5 linked regions of the Mus musculus genome follow. The protein of the gene in region 4 interacts with the protein of the main gene of each other region in a biochemical or structural test. Links are inferred from orthologs where the notes say so. Each region holds a gene or a part of one and is shown on either strand. Other genes may lie near its edges.

Region 1 (4,164 bases), on a different chromosome or scaffold from region 4:
AGAAACTCCCTTCTACCTCCCCAGTGTTTACTGAGTCGGGCACAACTGTTTCTACCCTTCACAGACCCAGAGAGGTTAAACTAACATTTCCACTGCCTCCTTGAGAACTCCATCTCTCCAGATAACCCCACCACCACCACCGCATCTGAGGGTATGAGAGCATCTGAGGGTATGAGAGCATCTGAGGGTAGGAGAGCATCTGAGGGTAGGAGAGCATCTGAGAGTATGAGAGCATCTGAGGGTAGGAGAGCATCTGAGGGTAGGAGAGCATCTGAGGGTAGGAGAGCACAGAGCGTTGAGGCGCTAGAACCTGTAAACAGGTATTAGCTGTGACGCAGCTGGAGTATGAGCCTCCCAGAGGGACCTGCTCCTGAGCCCAGGCCCCACCCACGTGATCGCTTCCCCTCAGACTGCTAGGCAGCTTCAGCAGGCTAACGCAGAGCTAGCTACCTACAGTAAGCCCTAAGCGTGATGTCCTTTGGGGAGCCTTTGGATCACCGTACTCCACTGGGGTCAGCTGGAGAGGACCATAGCCTAGAGCGAGGGCCGTGTAAAACACCCACAGGTACACAGGACCCATCTGTCCCAACACACAGTCTTCTGAATGTGGGTCGTGATGCCTTTTTTGTTTGTTTGTTTGTTTTTGTTTTTTTGGTATTTTTGGAGACACCAAGAGAGACTCAAAGAAAACTGACACGTCTGAGCTAGCCTGGTCCAGAGCTCAAGTGTACCGAGGAGAGCTGGTTTGGGGATGACTGTGGTCCTTGCTCTGATCTATTCCCCACCCCGATTCCACATCAGCTGGGCCCGGATATGAGCCTCCAGGGGTCTGGGAAAGGCCAAAGTTCTCCCCAACAAGCCACTGGGCCGTAGAGGCTGCCAGCTATGGGGGAGAACCACTAACTTTGCCTCCTGGCTGATGGGAAGCCCTTGCTTGGGAGACACAGAGTAAGGCCGAGAAAAAAGACCCAACCCTTCCCCCATCCAGCCTGGAGCATCACAGGCTACGCCTGGCTTGCCAGAGGCCAGGGAGGAAGGACGTACATTCCCAAAGGCTACAGATGTTTCAGGACCTGGCTGGCTTCCTTTTTACCACTTCCTGTTTCCCTGCCATTTACCCAGTGACCACGGGGGTCTGTCGGTCTTGCCGAGACCTGGAGAATGGGACTCCACTCTGGGACAGGCAGAAAATAATGGGGAAATGTAGCCACTGTCCTGGCTTCAAGACAATTTTTTTAGGCCTCCCCTGAAGGCTCCGGTAGGCTGTAGAGACCCAGACCAGCGCAATGGACCAACTCACCCTCCTCGGCCATGTCCTTGTCCAGCACCAATTTTCCATGCCTGAGGAAATTCAGGATGGGCCCGAAGTAGGTGGGGTCACGGTCAATGAGGTAGGCCCCGGTCTCATCCTGTGGAGGAGATGACCACAGGAAGTGAGGGGTGTGCAAGCTTCCCCAAGCCAGCCACCCCCACCCCTCCTAACACACACACACACACACACACATACACACATACACACACACACACATAAACTCAAGTCACCACAGGCTGGCTGGAAGAATGGCTACAGGGAGAGAGGAAGCAGGAAGAAAGCAGTAAGGATCTGGGTTCGAACCCTGCCTCTGCCTTTTCCAGGCTGTGTGACCTTGAGCCAATCATCTGGCCTCTGGAGCGTTGCTTCTTTCTCCCATAGTCAGAGGATTAGATGTGAGTATAGAGGGTGACCGGATTCCTGAGTGGCCCCTTACCTCTCTCTCAGCACAGGACCCAGTGAATTTCCCTCTTAGGAAAGTTTCCCTCTTGGAGGCTGTGTACCGCGCCCACCCCCACCCCCAGCCAACCCCACTATTCACTAGATGTTTGCAAGTTTCCAAAGAAGCTGCACTCTGATTGGACAAGTGCAGCCTGCAGGGAGGACTGGGATCTGGACAACCCAGCACAGAAGACGGAGACATCAAGGGACAGGGGACTCACCCAAGGGCACAGTGTAAGAGGGCCACAGAATGGGGGACAGGGGACTTTGACAAGCCAACTCCAGAGGCCTTGCACACTAGGAGGCCAAAGTCAGAGAGCAGGGAAGTTCCCCTCTCCTCCCGATTCCTCCCTGGTCATTTGGGAATTTGGCAGGAGAGCAGGGTGAGCCCACAAGTGATAGCTCCAAAGCCAGTGCTCTTCCCTACATTAAGCCCAGCTCCAAGACACCCAGGCCTCCTCCATCTAGTTCCTTGTACCCTTCAGCTGCCCACACCCTAAGGGCGGGGAGAAGCAGCCGCATCAACTCCTTTAAGAGTCAGCCAGGGCAGTAAGGCAGGCCCGGTTTGTTGGTCCCTCCCCAGCGCTCCACAGTAAGGAAGCGTCCCGGATCTGGGGCAGCTCTCCAAAGCTCTAAATGGCTGCGGCCTGTGCTGTCCCGTTGCCACGGCAATGGGTATAGCTATTCCTCTCGGCTCCTCTTCCTCCCCCTCCTCCTGCCTCGGCTCCCCGCCTCAGAATCCTAGGAAAGCCAGAGGCCGAGGGACGCGCAGGCGGGACAGCCCGGGAGCGCGGGGCCAGGACCCCCCTGTCAGCGGGCTCAGGGCTCACCCTGTCCGATTGAAGCTCTTCGCCCTGACACAGGCGGCTGAGGAAGGACTTCTGCTCCCGACACAGCGTCTGGCGGGTGGTCAGGAACACCGTGCCCCCCACGTTCAGCCGCACCCACTTGCCCCAGCCGCCCCCGGGGCGGCCGCCCGCCCCCACCGGTGGCGCTGCCTCCCCGGCCTCCATCCTCATCGCCGGCCGCGTTGTCTGCATCCTTCCCTCCGCACGCCGCGGGCGAGTACCAGGTGCAGGGCATGCCGGGAGCTGTAGTCTGGAGCCAGGGCTGGGATGCTCTGCGCTTGTCCTGGTGTTGCTCGGACAGCACGTCCCGCCCCACATTGCCTTTCTTGGTGATCTATCATCTGGTCTCTCCGTGTGGCCAGACTGCTTGGTTTGCAGAAGGCCCTGCGAAAACAGTGATTTCCTCATTGGCTATCCCCCCCCATTTGTTCTGCTTTGTACGGGGGCCCCAGCTGAGGAATACCTGACCTGAGAAGAACTTTCTTCCTCCAGAAATTCCTATATTTACCTGAACCTACTTTTAAAAATAGGCGCACGCGCCTGTGTGTGAGCATGTGCGTGTGTGCATATGCGTGCATGAGCCACATCAGCAGTGTTTCTTTTTTGTCCCGTGTGTGGCAAAGACCACGGGGATGAGGTATAGTCACCACCTCTTCCTAAATTCTTTGAGGATATGTAGTTGGGCTTAGGGCTGGCTGAACGTTTCTGTGTGCCAGAAGCTGTGTGAGCATACATATGACTCCTTTAAGCTTCCTGCATCCCTGCCGGGTTGCTCTGGATGCCAGTCTTGGTCTAGTCTGAATGCTACGGAGTCTGCTTAAAGAGTGAACGTTCAGAAGATGAAGTTCAGGTACTGGCTTCTCTGGTGCCACTTGGCTTCCATATGTGCTTGACCTGAAGCTTGGAGATGAGGCATGGATCGGCTCTACAAAGTGGGGAAGGGGAGTTTTAGAATAGCCCCCTCCCCCATGATGCTGAGATGCCCAGGCCCCCCAGATGCCTTTCCTTGATGGGAGTGTGGGGTGTGCAGCAGGACTGGGGAGGCTCCAAAGCTCTCAGCAAAGGAGGAATGGGCTTAGGGTTTGGAAATGGTCACTCTAGCATTGGCATTCAAGGTGATTGCTGGGCTAGCAGAATGGAGAGGAAACAGGGGAGGGGGAGGATCCTGTTTGGGGGACATGGTCACTGCTGTTCTCACCCCACTGTTCAGTGAGTTCCTGAGGACAGTTGTTCCTTTTAGGACAACACAGCAGGTACAAAAAGACCTGACTTAGGGATGGCCTAGTTTCACTTTCTGTTGATGTAATATTAACATCCTGCCAAAAGCTAACGTAGGAAGAAAATGGTTTATTTGGCTCATAATTCCATATGAGCTCTTTGCTATAGGGAAGTCTAGGTTCCAGGACCTCGAGGCAGCTAGCCACATCCACAATCAAGAGCAGAGAGAGAACAAATGTATGCTTGTACTCAGCTCACTGTCTCCACTCTTACACCGTCCTGGGCTGAAGCCTAGGGAATGGTGTCTCCCACAGTGGGCTGTGTCTTCCCACATCAATTAATGTA
Region 2 (4,223 bases), on a different chromosome or scaffold from region 4:
AAAAATAGTCAGCATAGATAGTAACTGACAAAAATGGTAACTGACAAGACAGTAATGAACAGTTCTAGAGTGATTTGTCTGAGTCTCAGAATGAGCTAGCCTTAAAAAGTCAGGAGGAGGAGGGTGCTGCTGGCTAAGTCTGGAATGTAGAACCGCGGGTCATGCTGGGTGGCACAAATGCTGTCAGATGGCAAAGAGCAGAACAGAGTCCGAACCTGTTCTGGCCATGTTTTTCAAGCTGTGACCAGACAAGCAACAAGAAGCATTTAGACTCTGGCTTCGGCTGGATTCCTAGATGACAGCCTGAAGTCACTGACCCATCCTGAGCTATTTCCTTCTGCCTCCCAAGCACCCTAAGCTCACTCAACATAAGCCAATCGAGAGGCACAATGCCACTCGAGAGAGCCAATGCCACTTCTGCTGTTCTCTAAGCCGCAGTTATGAGTCCTATACCCACGTCCACCTTGGACCCTAGAACTACACAGTTGCTCACAGCCTGTTGCACAATAGAAATCTATTTTAAGGAACAAGAGTCTCGATGTGTTGCCTAGGGTATCCCTGAGCGCCTGGGCTCAAGCCAACTTGATGCCTCAAGCCTCCAGAGCAATTCGAAATTTAAACTAGTTTACATCAATCCGAATCTGGGATTGCGGTGGGATTAGGGGAGCCTGCTTCTGCACCCTTCGACAACGTCCCTTAAAACGTCCAGGCCCTGCGTTTGCTGAATCCTCAGAGAGCAAAGATCCAGTCTAGCCCGGTTCCGCTGCGCTCCGCGTAAGTGTAAGATTGAATGGAACCACCGAGAGCCAAACGGCCACTCACTACCCGCCTCGCTCAAAAATGGTCGCAAGCACTGCTTCCTACTCTACTGGGTGCGCGTCCCAGGAAGTACCCGCTAGACCGCCGAATAGTCACCTCCACAAACGGAAATACCCGAGCTTAACCGAAAAAGACCGAACCTCAAACTACAATGAGGAGGAACCAGGGGGCTGCAAGGGTTGCGCAGGCGCAGAGCACAGCTGAGGCAGGAAAAACCGAAGTGGGCAGGCGACGGAAAGTGCCGAAGCGGCGGGGCGCCCGAGGCCGTTGCCGACCTCCGCATCGAAGCCGCGCCTGCCGCGGAAGCTGAGCCTCCACCGGTACCCTGCGGTACCCTGCCGCCGCAAGCGCGGCTACCGCCTCCTCCTTCCACCTCACCGCAGCCTCCTAGCAGAGGGAGCAAGTAGGCGGGAGAGCGGCGGACCTGTAAAGGCCGGCGTCCGCAGCCGCAGCGGGGCCTCACCAGACCCAAGCGGAAGAGGGGGAGGAGGGCGCGGGGACCGTAGCAGGGGCGGGGCCGAGGATCGCCGAGTCCTCCCGAGCACCTCCGAACACACCCGAGGTGCTTAGCCAGGCCAGAGCCGGACTACGGGAGCCGAGGCGGGCCGTGCGGTGGGCGCGGAGCAGCGCGGCAGGCCGGGCGAGCGGCAGCGGAGGAGGCCGCGGTAGCGGGTCCGAGGAGCGGAAGCGGCGCAGGCGGCGGCGGGGGGCCGGGTGGCCGGGGTCCCGGGCCCCCGCGGCGGCGGGCTGCGGCGGCGGCGGCAGGATGATCAAGCTGTTCTCGCTGAAGCAGCAGAAGAAGGAGGAGGAGTCGGCCGGCGGCACCAAGGGCAGCAGCAAGAAGGCGTCGGCGGCGCAGCTCCGGATTCAGAAGGGTAGGGGTCGGGACCCTGCGTTCGAGGTCAGGGACCGTGGCGAGAAAATGCGGCCCCTGATATTTGGTATTGGTGGTCAGGTTTCGAGGGTTGTGATGCGGGACTGGGGGTGCGGTCACTAGGGAGGGTCATAGATTGGGGCGTTGGGATACTCGGGCCTGGAGTGTTAGGGACGCGGAATCTGTTAGGGGAGGGGTATAGTTTTGAGAGTCAGACGAGAACTTTGCTCTGGGGTGCCGTGTCGTGAAGATTGTGAAGGTTACGAATTGGGAATAAGTGGGAGACGGTTTAGTGTTTTAAACTGGGGACTCGTGGCCCAAGACTCAGGTCCAGAGGGTCAGGCAGAGCAATTTTGAGTTTGAGGTGAAGAGGAGGGAGAAAAGAAGGTTACAGGAACTAAAAAATGTGAGTGTGGGTCAATTTAAGCTACCATACAGGAAATCTCAAGGATGAGATGGGATCTTGGGCTTGTAATAAGATGGAGACGAGGAAGGACAGTGGAGGTGGGTGGTTGATGAGAAGGGGTGACTTAGTGTTGGGGGGCCGGTGTCATGGTCCTTGAATTGCGGTGGACAGATAAACAGTAGTGAGTGGAGATAATGACTAGAGATAGAAAACCTCAGGTTTAAGGTGCTCAGGGTTCTTGGAAGCAAGGGTTATGGGAGTAGAGGTTCTTGGGGACTATGTTGTGGGAACTTGTGGAGGACTTAGCTGGGTAAGGGTTTTCCCAAGAGATGGGCAGTTATACTTGAAGATGCTTGTATATGGGATACTGTGTATCCAGAAGAGTCCACGTAGAGACTGGAAAGTGGAAAGAATATGGAGTAGTACAGACTGAGTTAAAGTACACCACACAAAGCTCTTCAGGTCTAGAAAGCGAACTTATGGGTTCTGCTGACACATGCCCAGACCTCCTTTCTTTTACCTGTTTCTCTCCCTTTCCATGCTGTCCAAACCTAGACATTAACGAGCTGAACCTGCCCAAGACGTGTGACATCAGCTTCTCAGACCCAGACGACCTCCTCAACTTCAAGCTGGTGATCTGTCCTGATGAAGTAAGAGTAAAACAGGGCAGGATTCCCAAGAACAGACCAGGGGTGGCCCCATAAGAGTAGGGTCTTCATTCACTCTCCCCCTTCCTCTTCCAGGGCTTCTACAAAAGTGGCAAGTTTGTATTCAGCTTTAAGGTGAGTCTCAAGTGTACAAAGGTAGCTCTGTGGAGAAGACTGGGTACAACCAAAACACCTTCCCATCTCCTTTCTCTTTTTACACCTTCCCATCTCCTTTCTCTTTTTCTGGAGCCAGGTGGGACAGGGTTACCCACATGACCCTCCCAAGGTGAAGTGTGAAACAATGGTTTATCATCCCAACATTGACCTCGAGGGCAACGTCTGCCTCAACATCCTCAGGTGAGGGCACTGCCTTCCTTTCCCTCCCAAGACCTGCCTTCCAGGTATCCTCAGCCTTCTGTGGACACTGCATCTATCTCTGTCCTTCCCTCCCCTTTATGGTCAATCTGTTTCTGTCTTAGTTGTTTTTCTAATGACCTGACCTTGGCTTTCTCTGTGTCCTGCCCTGTCCCGTATCTTCACTCTTAGATCTCACACTTCAATGTTAAAAGGCCTTCTATGGGCCTAACCTGTTCAGTATTAGCAGGGCCTGTAGCAGCCTCCCACTCACCAGCCCCTGATAACCTTGATGCTCTCTGCCCACAGAGAGGACTGGAAGCCAGTCCTTACGATAAACTCCATAATTTATGGCCTGCAGTATCTCTTCTTGGTAAGTAGGGTTAGGCATTTGAAGCTGAGGGTTTGTTGGCCATCTGCCTCTCTCTTGCCTGTTGACTTCCACTTGTACCGGCCACAGGAGCCGAACCCTGAGGACCCACTGAACAAGGAGGCTGCTGAGGTCCTGCAGAACAACCGGCGGCTGTTTGAACAAAATGTGCAGCGCTCCATGAGAGGTGGTTACATCGGGTCCACCTACTTCGAGCGCTGCCTGAAATAGGGTTAGCAATTACCCATCCCTGCCAGGGTTACCGGCCCAGGCATCCCCTGCAAATATTTATTGGGGGCCCGGGTAAGGTGTGTGGGGTAGCCTTGGCCCCTGCCTTGGCCTTGCCTCTCTTCCCTGTCACCTGCCCCTAGTTATTTTTTTTTTGACCACCACGTGATTATGGTCGGTGCTGCCTCCCCCCCGACCTGCTCAGCGATGGGAAATGAATTGGCTTGTTTAGCGCCCCCCCCCTCCCGCTGGGTGCTGTCCAACTCCCCACTCTTGACTGTGGGGTAAGTGGGCAATGGGCCTGGGTCGCTAGGCCCAAGCAACCCACCCCACCACCACTGGAGGTCCCACCAGGCTATTAAAGGGGAATGTTACTGCATGGCCTCTGCCTCTTCCTTCTGTGGGGTGGGAGGTACAAGTGAGGTCCACCAGCGTCTATAATGAAGATAAATGTGGCCGTGGATTGGGTGGGACCACTCACTGGGATGAGGTGCAAGCAATGGAAGAATCGGCTAATTTCAGCTC
Region 3 (4,276 bases), on a different chromosome or scaffold from region 4:
TCTTGAAGATCTAAAGAGCACATGCTCCCCCCCACCCCACCCCACCACAATCACTCGGCAACAGCAAATCCTGGATTAAATACTTTGTTGGAAAATGTCCATACTCTATACAAGACAGTTCTTAGAGATTTTACTGCAGGTGTAAGTCAAAACAGGATAGATATAAATTGTTTCCCTAAAACATATTCTCACAAGTTTCTCAGACCTTATTTCAAAAGCCATCCTGTAAGGTCTGGAGAATTAGGAGTGCTTATTGCTCTTGCAGAGGATCTGAGTTCCATTCCTAGCTCTCAGTTGAGTAGCTCACAAGCACCAGTTCTAGGGGACCCTTCATCTGCTCTCCATTGCATCTATATGCATGTACACATACACACACACACACACACACATCTGCTCTCCATTGCATCTATATGCATGTACACATACACACACACACACACACACACACACACATATATATATATATATATATATATACTTAAAATAGTAAAAATAAATTTAAAAAAACATTATCAAACACATAGACAAGTTTAGTACTGTCTTAACTGTGTCAAGTCGTTTCCAAATATTAAAACTCGCCCTCAATATGTTTACCGCTGGGTTATTAAAACACCCCTCCAATAACCATTGCGATTATGGATGTTTCATAGTATCCATTACACCACACAAAAATAATCTTATAGTCCCTACATTTGATTTAGGGTGATCACCAAGGAGAACTGGCAAAGGATGCCCACAAACTAGGAAGACCTGTAATAGTCCAAAGGGAAGGACTTTACAGCCTCATTCGCTTCACTTACATAAAAGTTAAGACATCACAGTTCCCCTTTGCTCACCTTTAGGATTTCATTGCAGGTTCTGGCATGAGACTACTTCAACCCCAAATTCCACTAAGCTGCCATTCTTGATTCGCTTCCAAAAGAAAAATCCCCTAACTCTTGGACAAACCAAGTAGCCCAAGAAATACCCAGTGCAGTTATCTGTATTTTCTTCACAAGGGATATTACGAATCTCTACTTAGTTTCCATACTTATGTAAGGCTATATACTTCACTCTAGACGTCCATACAATGAACACGCTCTAAATGTTCCATGGTAAACGTTGCTTTAAAACGAACGTGTGCAGGATGATTTGAGACTAAGCTTTCGCTCCCCAAGGCAGATGCAGGGGTAAATTATCTTGGAGAAAGGCCAGGGCTTGGCCTGGGCTTTCCCTCTGCGGTGGACACTGTCCCAAGGAACCCAGGCATCTCCCGGGAGAGAATGCATTGAGTCTCCGCGGCATAAAGCACGAGTTAGTCAAGCAAGGAGGGTCCAAGGGGCGCGCTGAATTCTGGGACTCGTTTCCACAGTTACCCACGTGCACCCAATCCAACCGCGGCCCAGGGCGGCTGGGACTACAAGACCCAGAATTCCACGAGACTGCCTTTCCCTTTACACCGGCTCGGGGAGCCAGACCCTAAAGGAAACCCCTAAAGCACCCTCCCGGTGCTTCGGGCGGAGGTAGCTTCTCGCACGCGCGTTGCTATGCCTCCAAAGCGGCCCTCCGTACAAGGTAACAGGTCTTGACGCATCAGCCTCTACACCTGATGGCCAGAAATTAGAGAACTGCGTCACACACTGCCAAACCTACGGACCGCCGGGGACCCCGACAACCTCTTACGCCAATTCCTCCACCCCGCTTCCAGGACCCCTGCGGGTCGAGTCAGCTCGCAGACAGCGGCCTCCCGGTCCTGTAACCCCAGCCCGCGCTGACCTCGCTCCCCGTTGCTCGCCGAACGCGGAGGCTACTGCCAGCCTCGGGACACCTCCCGGGTACCCGGCCCCGCCCCCTCTCCTCAGTGCACCCCGAGGCTCAATGGTGGTCCCCTCCTAGGCTGGAACCGGGCCTCTCCAGGGAGGAGGCGCCTCCCCCAATGGACAGTCCAACGCTCCCCACCCCGCCCCAAGAGCACCGTACCCGAAGATGACAGCCCTCCCAGTCCCCGCTTCTCCCCACCTACTCTTCCTCCTAACTCACTCCGCACACCCTCCCCGACCCCTGTCCCAGCCCCCAAACTGCACAGCAGTCCTATCCGCCATCCACTCCTCCGGGGACCGCCTGTCCCAACACCTGCCCCCCAAGCCCTCTCCCCACTCCCGACCGCCGTCCCGCACACCGGACTCCACAACTCTCCCATCCCACCGCGGCGTCTCCCACTCCATGGCCCCCGTTACATCACCCCCCATCCCCTCACCGGCCCGGCCGCTGCCCCAGCTCCCCACCCATTGTTCCCGCCCCCGCCCCCAGCCCTCCTTCCCATTGTCCCCGCCCCCTCTCCCCTCGCACTCCCCCGCCTTCCCCGGTAGACCGTACGGCTCGGGCCCCGCAAGCCTCACCCTGTACTCGGACCGCAGGCCCTCTCCCTGCCCGCTCGTACCACCCCCGACCCCAGCTGCCAGCGCCCGCCGCCGTCTCCACCTCCGTGCACCACCGACTCTCGGCCCCCGGCCTTCCAGAATGTCCCCCCTCCCCCAACCGCGGAAAGCCAGCCAGTCCCCACCCCCTCCCCGCCGCCCCTGCCCCCGCCCCAGCCGCCCGCAGCGTCACGGCCCTCGGACTCCAGGAGGGGTTCAACCCGCTCCCGGGCCAGGGACTCCAGCGCGATCGGAACCGGAGAAGTGGAGAAGGGAGCGCAGGAGCGGACGCGGTGTGCGGGCCCGCTGGCTCTGTGCTACTCACTGACAGCTGCAGCATCCGAGTGCATTTTCGGGCAGCTCACACCCGCCTGCCGCCCGGGCTCCCGCGCTCCACTCGCGGTCCCCCTACCGACTCCCCAAACCTTAGCTCGCAACAGAGGACCGCCGGCTTCTTCTCCGGCCCGCCCATCCCGCCCTTCTCATTGGCTAGACCCCAGCCGGGGGACCGCCCCTCTTCGGCTCTCATTTGACCGAAGAAGTGCTGGTTGCGCCGCCTGCAGCTGGCAAGGAGGCCCCGCCCCCTAGACTGCAACGTGATTGGCCCCGGCGTCTCGCCTCCGACCGCCCCTGGTGGAGGCCACTGTTCGGAGCCGCAGGTTGGACCCAACGGCTGTCAGTCATTCAGGGGTCCGAAAGCGCGTGGAGGGGCGAGACTGGGGAATTGGTCCACCTTGACCCTGAAGCCCCGCCCTGTGGCGGGCGGATCCTGGAGCGGGAGACCAACCGAGAGCCCAGCCGAGAACCTGGGTTAAGCATCCGAAACAAAGCAGCCTGAGGGACCTAGAGCCAAGCTCCAGCCCACAGGGACTGGTGTTCCCTGGGAGGCCATCGGCCAGATCCCGCTACTGCCCGCGCCCGGGTCCCGCCGGTTCTCCTCAATCGTTTCCCATTGCGGAAAATTAGAAGAAGAAAAATATCTCCGCTTTCCTCCCCTTTATGCCACAACCTTTCTGTCCTCAACTTTGGAAATGCGCCTCTTTTTCAGAGTCAATTATTCAGAGTCATGCGTTACTTGCGCCAAAGGTTTCGAATGCTTCAGGCATTGAACGTCAGACACCTCTGCGGTCCCCAGACAGCGAGAGAAAAACCTAGTGCCACATTAGGCTCTGGGGTCAGCCTGACACCAAGATAAGCCAGGTCCCCTGACTATAAAAGTCTAAGAAACATAAGTCGAACCTGGCCAAACCGCTGTTTAGCAGAGGGAAGCGTTAATGGGGTTGTGATTGTTAAGTGTCCTAAATACTGCTTTTGTTGTTTCTTGGAGTTTTTCAGTACTTGAAAACCAGTTCTCCACAATCACAGGTAATGCAATAACGCTGAGATGTGCGAGGGTGGGCGCCCCGCCCCCACCGCAAACACACACTCCATGTCCAAACCTCGCTTGCCCCAACCACAGCCTGGACAGCCTGTAGATTCCGCCACACGCACTGGATGATATGACCAAAGATAACAAAGGGGTCCTGCGTTAGGATTCTGAATTCTACAGCCCAGGCTCTTGAGTTGTAGAGTTCTGAAATCCGGACAAATGTTACAAGCGCAAAACAGCTTACAGTCCTTGTTATCTACATCACTGTGTTTGTTACTGTGATATGTTCCATCTCATCGCCCTCTATTTCTCTGTAATTAAATTGAATCCCAATAACGCAATCTTTCATATTTGTCATTCAAATGCATATGATTCACTTCATCAAATTGCAAAATATCAGAATTGCATCTGAAGACAAGAACTCTTCATAGAGCATTCTTTTGGGTCTCCTTAACAGGACAGAGTCTTAGCCAAGTCTCATAAACAAAGGAAGGTACTTGTAGGCTCCTGG
Region 4 (4,333 bases):
TATTCTGCTTAAAAATGTGAAAGCAAACTTAAAATATGCACTAAAAATGTAAGAGAACCTGATTTGGTAGAACTTTAATAAAGTACTTTTTTGATAAAGTACTCATCTATATATGAAATATATTCTGTAAGTTAACTTACCACTATTGTACAATGAAAAATCAAACAAGTCTAAACTTACTTCATTCCTTTTATACATCCATTTTATAAAAAACCTGAAATGAGCAACTGCCATTACTTATAGCTAACTACATATCCACATAGTATAACACATAACAGTTGTAGGAATACACACATGTAATAAACATAAATGGTATTTTTTGTGTATGAAATACTATGTATTTTAACTTCTAAGAATCCAAGTGGGTTGTACTTATATACAAGACATCTAATCTGAATGAAAGCAATTCTGACAGCCTAATGGACTCACTTCCCAGAACTCAATAAAATATCACTGGAGCATTATTTAGCCTCAACAATAGCCAATTATTTCAATGGGAACAACTTATGGTTATTTACTTATGAACTGGAAAACAAACAAAAAACAAAACAAAAATCTCAGTTTTAGTACTAGCCTATCACACACTAATACCATCTTCATTCAGCTAATGGTACAAAATTCTCTTCCTGCTTCTAATCCCTAATGCTAGCTCCAGAAACCACTGATCTTTTCCTTTTTCACATCTACTGCTAAGTCCTAAAGCTCTAGGAATAAACAGTGCCTGCATACAGTACTCAGTATATGGGGAGAGGAAAACAGGTTCAAGTAGAGAAACCTAGAGGTCAAAGAGCTGCAAACACAGATAAAGGTAGAACCGGTTACTCTGAAAAATATTAACTGGTCAAATATAAGCTCTTTCACATTTTACTAAACAACAAAGAAACAACAGAACCAAGAGTAAATATTTCCTAGAAAAATCAGTGTCATAGTTGATTAAAAAAAAATTAAAACATAAAAAACAACCATGTCTGAATTCGCTTAAAAAAAAAGAGGGAAGGATGTGGATTTGACAATCACTTGGGTGGTTGATTAGGTAGGGAAATTATTCAAGTTCATAAACCTGGCTCACTGTCCAATTACAAAGGAAAACATAATAGTTACCTTTATTGGCACTGTGTTTCTAGCATTTCTCACTTTCTGGTGTAATCTCTTATTTACTTAAAAAAATCGTTCATAATGCAATTATTATTAAAGTATCTCGTCCTCCTGATTATACCCTACATGTTAACATAGAGCCCATTTATTTACATAAAGGTGCAAGTTTTTACATGCTGACAATATGTCCCTTGCAAAGTCACAATTCTGCATCGCTTGTACACTTCTTTGGGATGAGGAATTCAGAGGCCCTCAAGTTCTCCAAGGCAAAGTTACTTAACTCAGACAATACTATCGTGGTCTTTCATTCCTCACAGCAAAGGGTACTTCAGGAAAAGCCTGTTCAAAAAGTGATGACAAAGGCCCCCTTCCCCTCCCACACGACAGAATGCTTATGAGTCTTAGAAGGGAAAAACAACCTCCCTCCGTTTTACTTTTACAATTCTGCTCCACTGATGGCTTGTCTATTTGACATTTACCTGTCACTGTAGCGACACGAGCAAGTACGTCCAGTTTGTTACAACAGGACATTTTAATTGCCTGCCACTGGCTATCTGATCGAGGCATGACATCCAAAGTTACATACTACTCCATCTACTAAACACCGCAAGCCTATGACTCAACGTAACGCCAAGAGGAAAAGTTTCTGAAGAGCAAATGTTTGCTGTCGCTAAAAACGTACAAGGTAAAACAAGTCTGAGTGGCAACTATTCTTGGGGACCTCCTTGACTAAGACACGGAAAAGCTGTGCCTGGCCCTCCAAGAAGTGGAGGGGCGATTCTGAACCGGAGTGGGTCAAGCGCTTAGGAAGCTTTGCAGGATCAAGGATGCTATAAATACTATGCTCCTAGTGTTTTGCCAGTGGGCATTTCTAGCATCTCTGTCAGTGAGTGGGGCAGTGGGATGGCAAGACCGCCCCTGACTACGGAGTCGAGCAGAGGTGGACAGTCCTCCCCACCGCCGTAAAAGCCGAGCCGGCTCCTTCTGGAAACCGCACGCTAAAAGTTACACACACGCCCCACGCGACGGGTGCGGCGGCCACAGCGCGCATCCCCTCAGGGCCGCGGCCCCCGAGGCCCGAGCGAAGGAGGCCCCGGGGCGGCCGGGGCGCGGGGAACGGCCCCGGAGGTGGCCGACCCGGCCCCGCGCCGCCCCGTTGCCGGGAAGCCTCGCGCTCCGCCACCGGCGGCGGCCGTGGGGGGAGGGGAGGCCGGCTGCGGCCTGTTGGCGGAGTTCAGCCCCGGCCTCGCGTGCGGCTCCGGGCCGCGGCTCCCGGTCCCGGGCGCCGAGGACCGACTCACCGGAAAGGCCCGGATCCGCATCTTGGTGTCCTTCCGGCTGCCCGTGCCTTTGCTCAGATTCGACATGGTGCTCGGCCCCTCCCCGGCGGCGGCGCTGACGGCGGCGGCGGCTGCGGCTCGCACTCGGAGGCGCCGGTGTCACATTGAAGGCGGGAGGGCAGCCGCGGGGCTCGGCGGGGGGCGGCGGCGCGGCCCCCGGGCTGGGCTGGGCGGCGGGCCGGCCCCTGGGCGGCCGCGGCGGCGGGGGCGGCGGCTCGGGCTCGGGCGGCTCGGGCTCGGCCGGGGGCTGCGCTGGCGCGGCGGCTCCGCGGGCTTCCCCTCGCGCCGGGCTCGGCTCCCTTTATCGCGCTCCTCCGCGATGGCGGCGGCGGCGGCGACGGACAAACATCTCACTGCGCAGGCCGAACGTCCTCCTCCTCCTTCTCCTCCTCCGCCTCAGCGAGACGAGATCCGGCCCAGAGGGTGGAGGGGGGAGGAGGGAGGGAGGAGAGCGGAGAGTGGAGAGATGGGGGAGGGGGCGGGAGGACGGGAGGGGAGGCGGGAGGCCGCGGCGGGCACGTCAGATCTCGCGAGATCGGGGCGGGCGCGCGGTCGGGGGCGGGGTGGGGCGAAGCCCGGGAAGGGAGGGCGCAGGGAGAAGTGGGGTCTGAACGTGGTGGGGAGGGGGGAGAGGGGTGGATTAAGGAATGGGCGTAGTCAGCGCCCTGGGGGGCGGGGCCTGGTGCAGGAGACGTAGGCTGCGTTTTCAAAAGAGGAGCGTCGGAGACCCCAGTAGGCTGAGGTGGCTTCTGATTGGTGGAGCGCGAAGGTGGTGGGTCACGTGGGTAGTGGGCGGGGGAATTTCCGGAAGGGGGAGAGGGGAGTGTTGTGTTGTGGGCTGGCGGGGCTGAGCTTGGCCCTAGTAGGTAGGTAGTCCTGGGAAAGGGCGTGGGGTGCGAGGAGGAAGGTTCTACGTCCTAGAACTGCTCCTGTGTTTTTCTAGGGCACGTGGCCTAGGGATGGGTACTTGAGCCCAGCCAGAAACTTGAAAGCAGGGTTTGTGCTTGAGTTACCTGCAGACTGCGAAACCAGTGTCCTGTTTTTAGCTAGGTGTTGCAGCGCCTCAGAATCAACCCGGCCTTCTTACACTGTACAAGCTCCTGGGTTTGTTCATTAGTTGATACCTTCTGGAGGATCCAGAGCCCACTAATGTTAAAACCCGGTTTTTGTTTGTGCCGAAATAAAACAAATGCCTAATATACTACAATATTGTGTTAAACATACGACCATTTCCAAGAACAGTATAGATCATTAAAACCAAAAGCACTGTGAAATTAAGTTTGCTGTAGGTTTGGAGACATTTTTCTATTTGTTCGGGGACTCTTATCCTATAGTCGAAATGTCCAATTCGACTGCTTTTGGCTTCTAATTCAGTATGAATCCTACATCTACCTTGCATACTTGCTCATTTGCTGTTTCCAACGCCCCTGGGAAATCTGAGATTCTCCCAGTTTTGGATCTTCCCATTTTGAGTGAACTGTTGTTGGGATTAGCACCTACAATTGAAATTGGTGGCCCATGACCTTAATCCCAGCATTTGGGAAGCAGAGGCAGGTGGATTTCTGAGTTCGAGGCCAGCCTGGTCTACAGAGTGAGTTCCAGGACAGCCAGGGCTACACAGAGAAACCCTGTCTTGAACACCCTTCACACACCCCCGCCCTCCAAAAGGGAAAACTTGATAAAGCTTGTTTATTTATGGTTGAATTGACCCTAAATTATTTGTAATGACTAAGCTTAGAGAGTTAAGCTAAAAATAAAATATCAAGAATGGGTTAAGTAAAACAAGGAAGGGCTCTGATGAATATAGTGAGTGATGCATAGTTGTTTATAACTAGTATGCTAATTGATTGCCATTTCCATAATTATCAGGATATAAAACCTTTTTCTATTGGCTGTCC
Region 5 (4,183 bases), on a different chromosome or scaffold from region 4:
TGAGTTCCATCAAGGAGGCTCCCTCACTGAACCAAACGGCACTCAACTTTTGCTACTTCAATACCAAGGCAGCGCCTGTGCACCCTGGGCCGGAGGCAATGGAAAATTACAGGAACTGTGACTCCCACCAACGGCTGTAATCCTCGGAAGTATCCAGTGGGTGGAAGGAGGCAGCACTGCCTGCGCCTCTGCATGACTTCAAACAAGCAGTTTTCCTTTCTTAGAACACCTGGGATGAGGAGGCGGACAACTCTAAGGTGGGAATAAAAGCTATATTTCTTCTTCTATTCCAGACATTTCCTTCTAGTGCTCCCTTTCAGTATTCTGCCCTCAACAGAAGCCCAGGCAGCCTGGCAAAGTAACCGTCACGGCAATGGCAGGGAGTGTCACCGCCACGCCACACCCTGTGCACCCGTGACTGCAGAGCTCCCTACAGGCTGTGCAGCATCCCACCCTTCTCGCACCCTTTCCACAGGCCCTATTCCTCCCTTTCTGTGGTAAGAGAATTAAAGCCCCGAGCCATTACATGATGTAGCCAAGGGCATATAACATTTAAGTGGGTAGAGCTGGATTCTTGCCCAGGACACTGCTTCTAGAGTGTATACAAATCATTCCTAACACGTATTAAGACGTAGATTACTGGGGCTAGGAGGATCACTCTACTGGTATACTGTGTGCCATGAAAGCAAGACAACCTACTTGCACGGATCCTCAGCCAGGTAGGACAAAGTATGCCCGGGGAGGCAGAGGCAATGAAGATCCCTCACTGGCTAGATAATCTGGCTCAGTGAGTTCCCTGTTCATTGAGAGATGGCCTCAAAAAATAAGTTGGGGAACAACTGAGAACTGAGGCAGCCACTCAATTGTCAACTTTTGGTTTACAGATGTTTACTGTCCCCACACAGGTAAATACACACACACCCCTCACAATTTGGGGGTGGGATCTGTGCCATCTAAGCTTAGAGCAGGTCTTAGATGGGGCCCAAATCTGTCCTTTAAACAAGCTCTCAGGTAATTCTGATACAAACCAGCCACTAAAAATATGTACTATGGGAATGCTTTCCCAACCTGAGCTCCCGTGGAACACCAGCTTGTCACAAAACAATGAGCAGACGTAATTCAAAACAGATGGGGTAGGGTGGTCCCTGGTTAAGAAAGTTTTTAGGACTATGACGCATTCTATGACTTTCTGGGAGATTTGCAGTGAGCATTACCACGCTGTATTAACAGAGCAGTTCCCAAGCTTGCTTAACCACAGGATCCTCTATCAAGAGCACCCATTAACATCTCACAAAACCCAGCAAGTGGGGCGGAGTCTGGGAAGCCAGGCTGTGGTAGTTCTTCCTACTTGGAGCCCACACTGGCCTCTACTCACTTCTGCCAAGTATGCAATAAGTGGAATTCAAAGCTCTAACCCTGGCCTCACCCTCACCAGCTATGTGAGACCTCTAAGCCTCTCTGGGTTTGCTCCTCAGCTATAAGTCAAAATAATAAGCCCTGCATGCTTACAGGGTCTTCATATGGGCACAATGGGGGCCCAACTGCTGTGTGGGAGCCAGCAAGATGACTCAGTGGGTAAAGGGGCTTGCTGAAAGGCCCAAGAAGGTTGATCCCCAAGACCCACATGATAGAGAAAAAAATAATTCCTGTGCATGTGCACATGTGTAGCCGCCCTCTCCCCACCCCCAACACACACACAAAGTAAATGTAAGAAATGCTATATAAACCACATAGGCCTTTAAATATCTTTTAGTCTGTGACTATGGCCAATCAAAGCTTGGTAATAACCCATTTGACTTTGCATTCCACTTTCCATACATGAGACTAATCTCTTAAACTACTCTGTGATCAGGACGATTATTTTGTCCAAATTATTTCGAAGTGAGGGGCCTGCTTTGAAAACTCCTACAAAGTGATGTTACACTTTACCGTATAGCATAGCATATGCCTACAGGAATCACATCGTTCTTCCTAATAACTCTGTGAGGGGTGGACTCTTACTACTTGGTCCATTTTATGAGAGGAAACTGGATCAGGAAAAAAAAAAAAAAAAAAAAAAGACTTAAAACTAATGCGGCAAAGATCTGGCTCCACTTTTAACTCAAAACTGCATTTGGCACCTCTATGTCACCTAATTCTGGCCACAAAATAAATCACACTGAAATGATGTTCCCGGCTGGTTCAAGGCAGGCTAGAAAGGAAGGAAGAAGCAGTTGCAGACAACCCAAGTTCTGACCTTGGCTCTGCTGCCTAACTACTTGGTAACTTAGATAAACTCCATATCTTCTCTGGGTTTCACTTTTCCTACGTGTGAAAGGACGCTGGACAACCGTGAGGGGTGTAATCTCACTTCTGGTACCTCCTACCACTGATTGTCCCGAGATTATTCGGTCGCAGGACGGTGCTGAGAGAGTCGGGCAACTTGTTTTTATCAAGTTACGCCCAGAAAGACTCCAAGGGAAAAAGAGCTCTAAACGCCTCGAGAGCACAGAGGACTCCGCCCCACGGAGACCTGAGTTAAGCACCCTGGTCCGGTTCAGCCCGGATCAATTCACAGCAAAACCCCCAAAGCCAGTTTTGCGCAATATAAACAACCCCTCGAGTGGTCCTATGTGACGTAAAACGAGCGCGACGGACTGGCCCTCCTGTTTCTCGCTCACACAGAGTCTTGTTGAAGTAAACCTCTGCGTGAAAAGGCTGCGGATCAAGTGGGGAGAAAGAGCCGAGGATGGAGAGTGGTACCGGATCTATAGACAAGCCCAAATATTGACGCAGGGGCCACTACAACTCACCTGTCCGTTTGGATAGCTGGCCATGGCGGTTATGACGTCACACAACTGTGGTAGGCGGAGTTTCCTGCTCCCAATGCCGCTCCTGGTTGGATTTTGGGGCGGGTCCGATTGTGATTGGACGGACAGGCTGTCAATCTTCCGGTCAACAAACGGAAGTCACAGGCGGTGAGCTGGTACCTTACAGAGGGCTGGGTAGGAGTGTCCGGAAGTGTTGTTGACCGTAGTGGCTCGTTTGTTTTTATTTTTCGTGACCTGCAGCGGACCTCGGGCCTGGCCAGCTGTAGTTATCTAATGGGGAGACTTGGTCAGTTGTTTCTGTGGTGGCCATATTATAACCTGGCAAGGCCATATTATAACCTGACGCATATTAGTTACGTCACTGTCGTGATCACTTTACTTCTAACGCCCAGGCGGTTGCCATGGCTACTGAGAACTTAAGCCTTTCCTGGAATGCAGGTGCCATTTAGAACGTGGGTACTAAACAGACCCGTGGACAGTGGAGAAAGGTCAGACCGCCAGAAGAGAAGGAAAATTAAGATGTCACGGTGCTCCTATCTTTATGTATGGGGAAACTGAGGCTCAGAAAGGCAATGACTTAGTTACCTAAACTCACAGTGAGTTCCTCAGCAAAGTACGGCCTAGAACTAGTGTCAGTAGATGACTAGGTCTCAACAAGGAGGTTTTATTCCCTCTGTAGGTCAAATCACAGTTCCTAAGTTACCAACTTTCCTGTACTTGGCTCTTGGGGTTTAGGTTCTAAACTTGGTTGCATGTTTATTTGATTAGTTACATTCCCACGTGGCCGGGCCTGGTGGCACATGCCTTTAGTCTCAGCAGGCAGAAGCAAGCATACATACATAGACAGTTCCAGTCTAGCCATGGCTGCATAATGAGGCTCTGTCTCAAACAACAACAGCAGCAGCAGCAACAACAAAAACTCTCATGTGGACAAGAATTGTGTTTGATTTGCTTATAATTGTATCCCCAGTATCTACAGTGCCAACACTATACTTTTTAAATAAAAAGTCCTGAGCTTTCAATCTAGCCAGGCACTTTCCACAGTCCCACTGCTGATCGTGGTACTGGCCATAGGACAGTCTGCAAAGCACGGTCCTCATCCTTACCTGCAGAGGAAGACAAGTCTGGTGATCCAGTTCCTTCGTGATCTGGCCCAGCCTTACCCACCAGCGCCCCGCTGGCTTATTTCTTTGCTCAGCTTCCCCCTCAGCACTGGCGTTAGTGAGCAGATCCTGTTGTTCGTTTTCTTTTTTAAACAGTTTCTAGCTGTGTGATCTTGAAGAAGTCATTTAACCTCTCTGAGTCACAGTTTTCTGGAATACAACTTAGGAAAATGCTAACTTAAAAATGAACTAGTCACAGCCTCTCACACT

Evidence for each region.
Region 1: the proteins of Cul3 (region 4) and Kctd17 form a complex in vitro, tested with the Homo sapiens proteins (3 studies listed by BioGRID). The link is inferred for Mus musculus from reciprocal best matches to the Homo sapiens genes CUL3 and KCTD17.
Region 2: the proteins of Cul3 (region 4) and Ube2m form a complex in vitro, tested with the Homo sapiens proteins (2 studies listed by BioGRID, with this or other methods). The link is inferred for Mus musculus from reciprocal best matches to the Homo sapiens genes CUL3 and UBE2M.
Region 3: the proteins of Cul3 (region 4) and Dcun1d4 form a complex in vitro, tested with the Homo sapiens proteins (2 studies listed by BioGRID, with this or other methods). The link is inferred for Mus musculus from reciprocal best matches to the Homo sapiens genes CUL3 and DCUN1D4.
Region 5: the proteins of Cul3 (region 4) and Pef1 form a complex in vitro, tested with the Homo sapiens proteins (2 studies listed by BioGRID). The link is inferred for Mus musculus from reciprocal best matches to the Homo sapiens genes CUL3 and PEF1.

Annotation. Positions count from the first base shown.
Region 1 is NC_000081.6:78,427,287-78,431,450, reverse strand, and holds the start of Kctd17 (BTB/POZ domain-containing protein KCTD17), read right to left. Parts: upstream 2,888-4,164; 5' UTR 2,794-2,887; coding exon 2,584-2,793; intron 1,410-2,583; coding exon 1,301-1,409; intron 1-1,300. UniProt on the Homo sapiens protein: Substrate-adapter for CUL3-RING ubiquitin ligase complexes which mediates the ubiquitination and subsequent proteasomal degradation of TCHP, a protein involved in ciliogenesis down-regulation.
Region 2 is NC_000073.6:13,035,092-13,039,314, reverse strand, and holds Ube2m (NEDD8-conjugating enzyme Ubc12), read left to right. Parts: upstream 1-1,336; 5' UTR 1,337-1,585; coding exon 1,586-1,694; exon of another isoform or gene 1,695-1,741; coding exon of another isoform or gene 1,742-1,760; intron 1,761-2,654; coding exon 2,655-2,749; intron 2,750-2,842; coding exon 2,843-2,881; intron 2,882-2,999; coding exon 3,000-3,103; intron 3,104-3,409; coding exon 3,410-3,473; intron 3,474-3,560; coding exon 3,561-3,701; 3' UTR 3,702-4,195; downstream 4,196-4,223.
Region 3 is NC_000071.6:73,489,637-73,493,912, reverse strand, and holds the start of Dcun1d4 (DCN1-like protein 4), read right to left. Parts: upstream 2,888-4,276; 5' UTR 2,747-2,887; coding exon 2,722-2,746; intron 2,483-2,721; exon of another isoform or gene 2,379-2,482; intron 2,256-2,378; exon of another isoform or gene 2,237-2,255; intron 1,731-2,236; exon of another isoform or gene 837-1,730; intron 1-836. UniProt on the Homo sapiens protein: Contributes to the neddylation of all cullins by transferring NEDD8 from N-terminally acetylated NEDD8-conjugating E2s enzyme to different cullin C-terminal domain-RBX complexes which are necessary for the activation of cullin-RING E3 ubiquitin ligases (CRLs).
Region 4 is NC_000067.6:80,337,850-80,342,182, forward strand, and holds the start of Cul3 (cullin-3), read right to left. Parts: upstream 2,842-4,333; 5' UTR 2,463-2,841; coding exon 2,397-2,462; intron 1-2,396. UniProt on the Homo sapiens protein: Core component of multiple cullin-RING-based BCR (BTB-CUL3-RBX1) E3 ubiquitin-protein ligase complexes which mediate the ubiquitination and subsequent proteasomal degradation of target proteins.
Region 5 is NC_000070.6:130,106,260-130,110,442, reverse strand, and holds the start of Pef1 (peflin), read right to left. Parts: upstream 2,888-4,183; 5' UTR 2,817-2,887; coding exon 2,793-2,816; exon of another isoform or gene 2,325-2,792; intron 1-2,324. UniProt on the Homo sapiens protein: Calcium-binding protein that acts as an adapter that bridges unrelated proteins or stabilizes weak protein-protein complexes in response to calcium.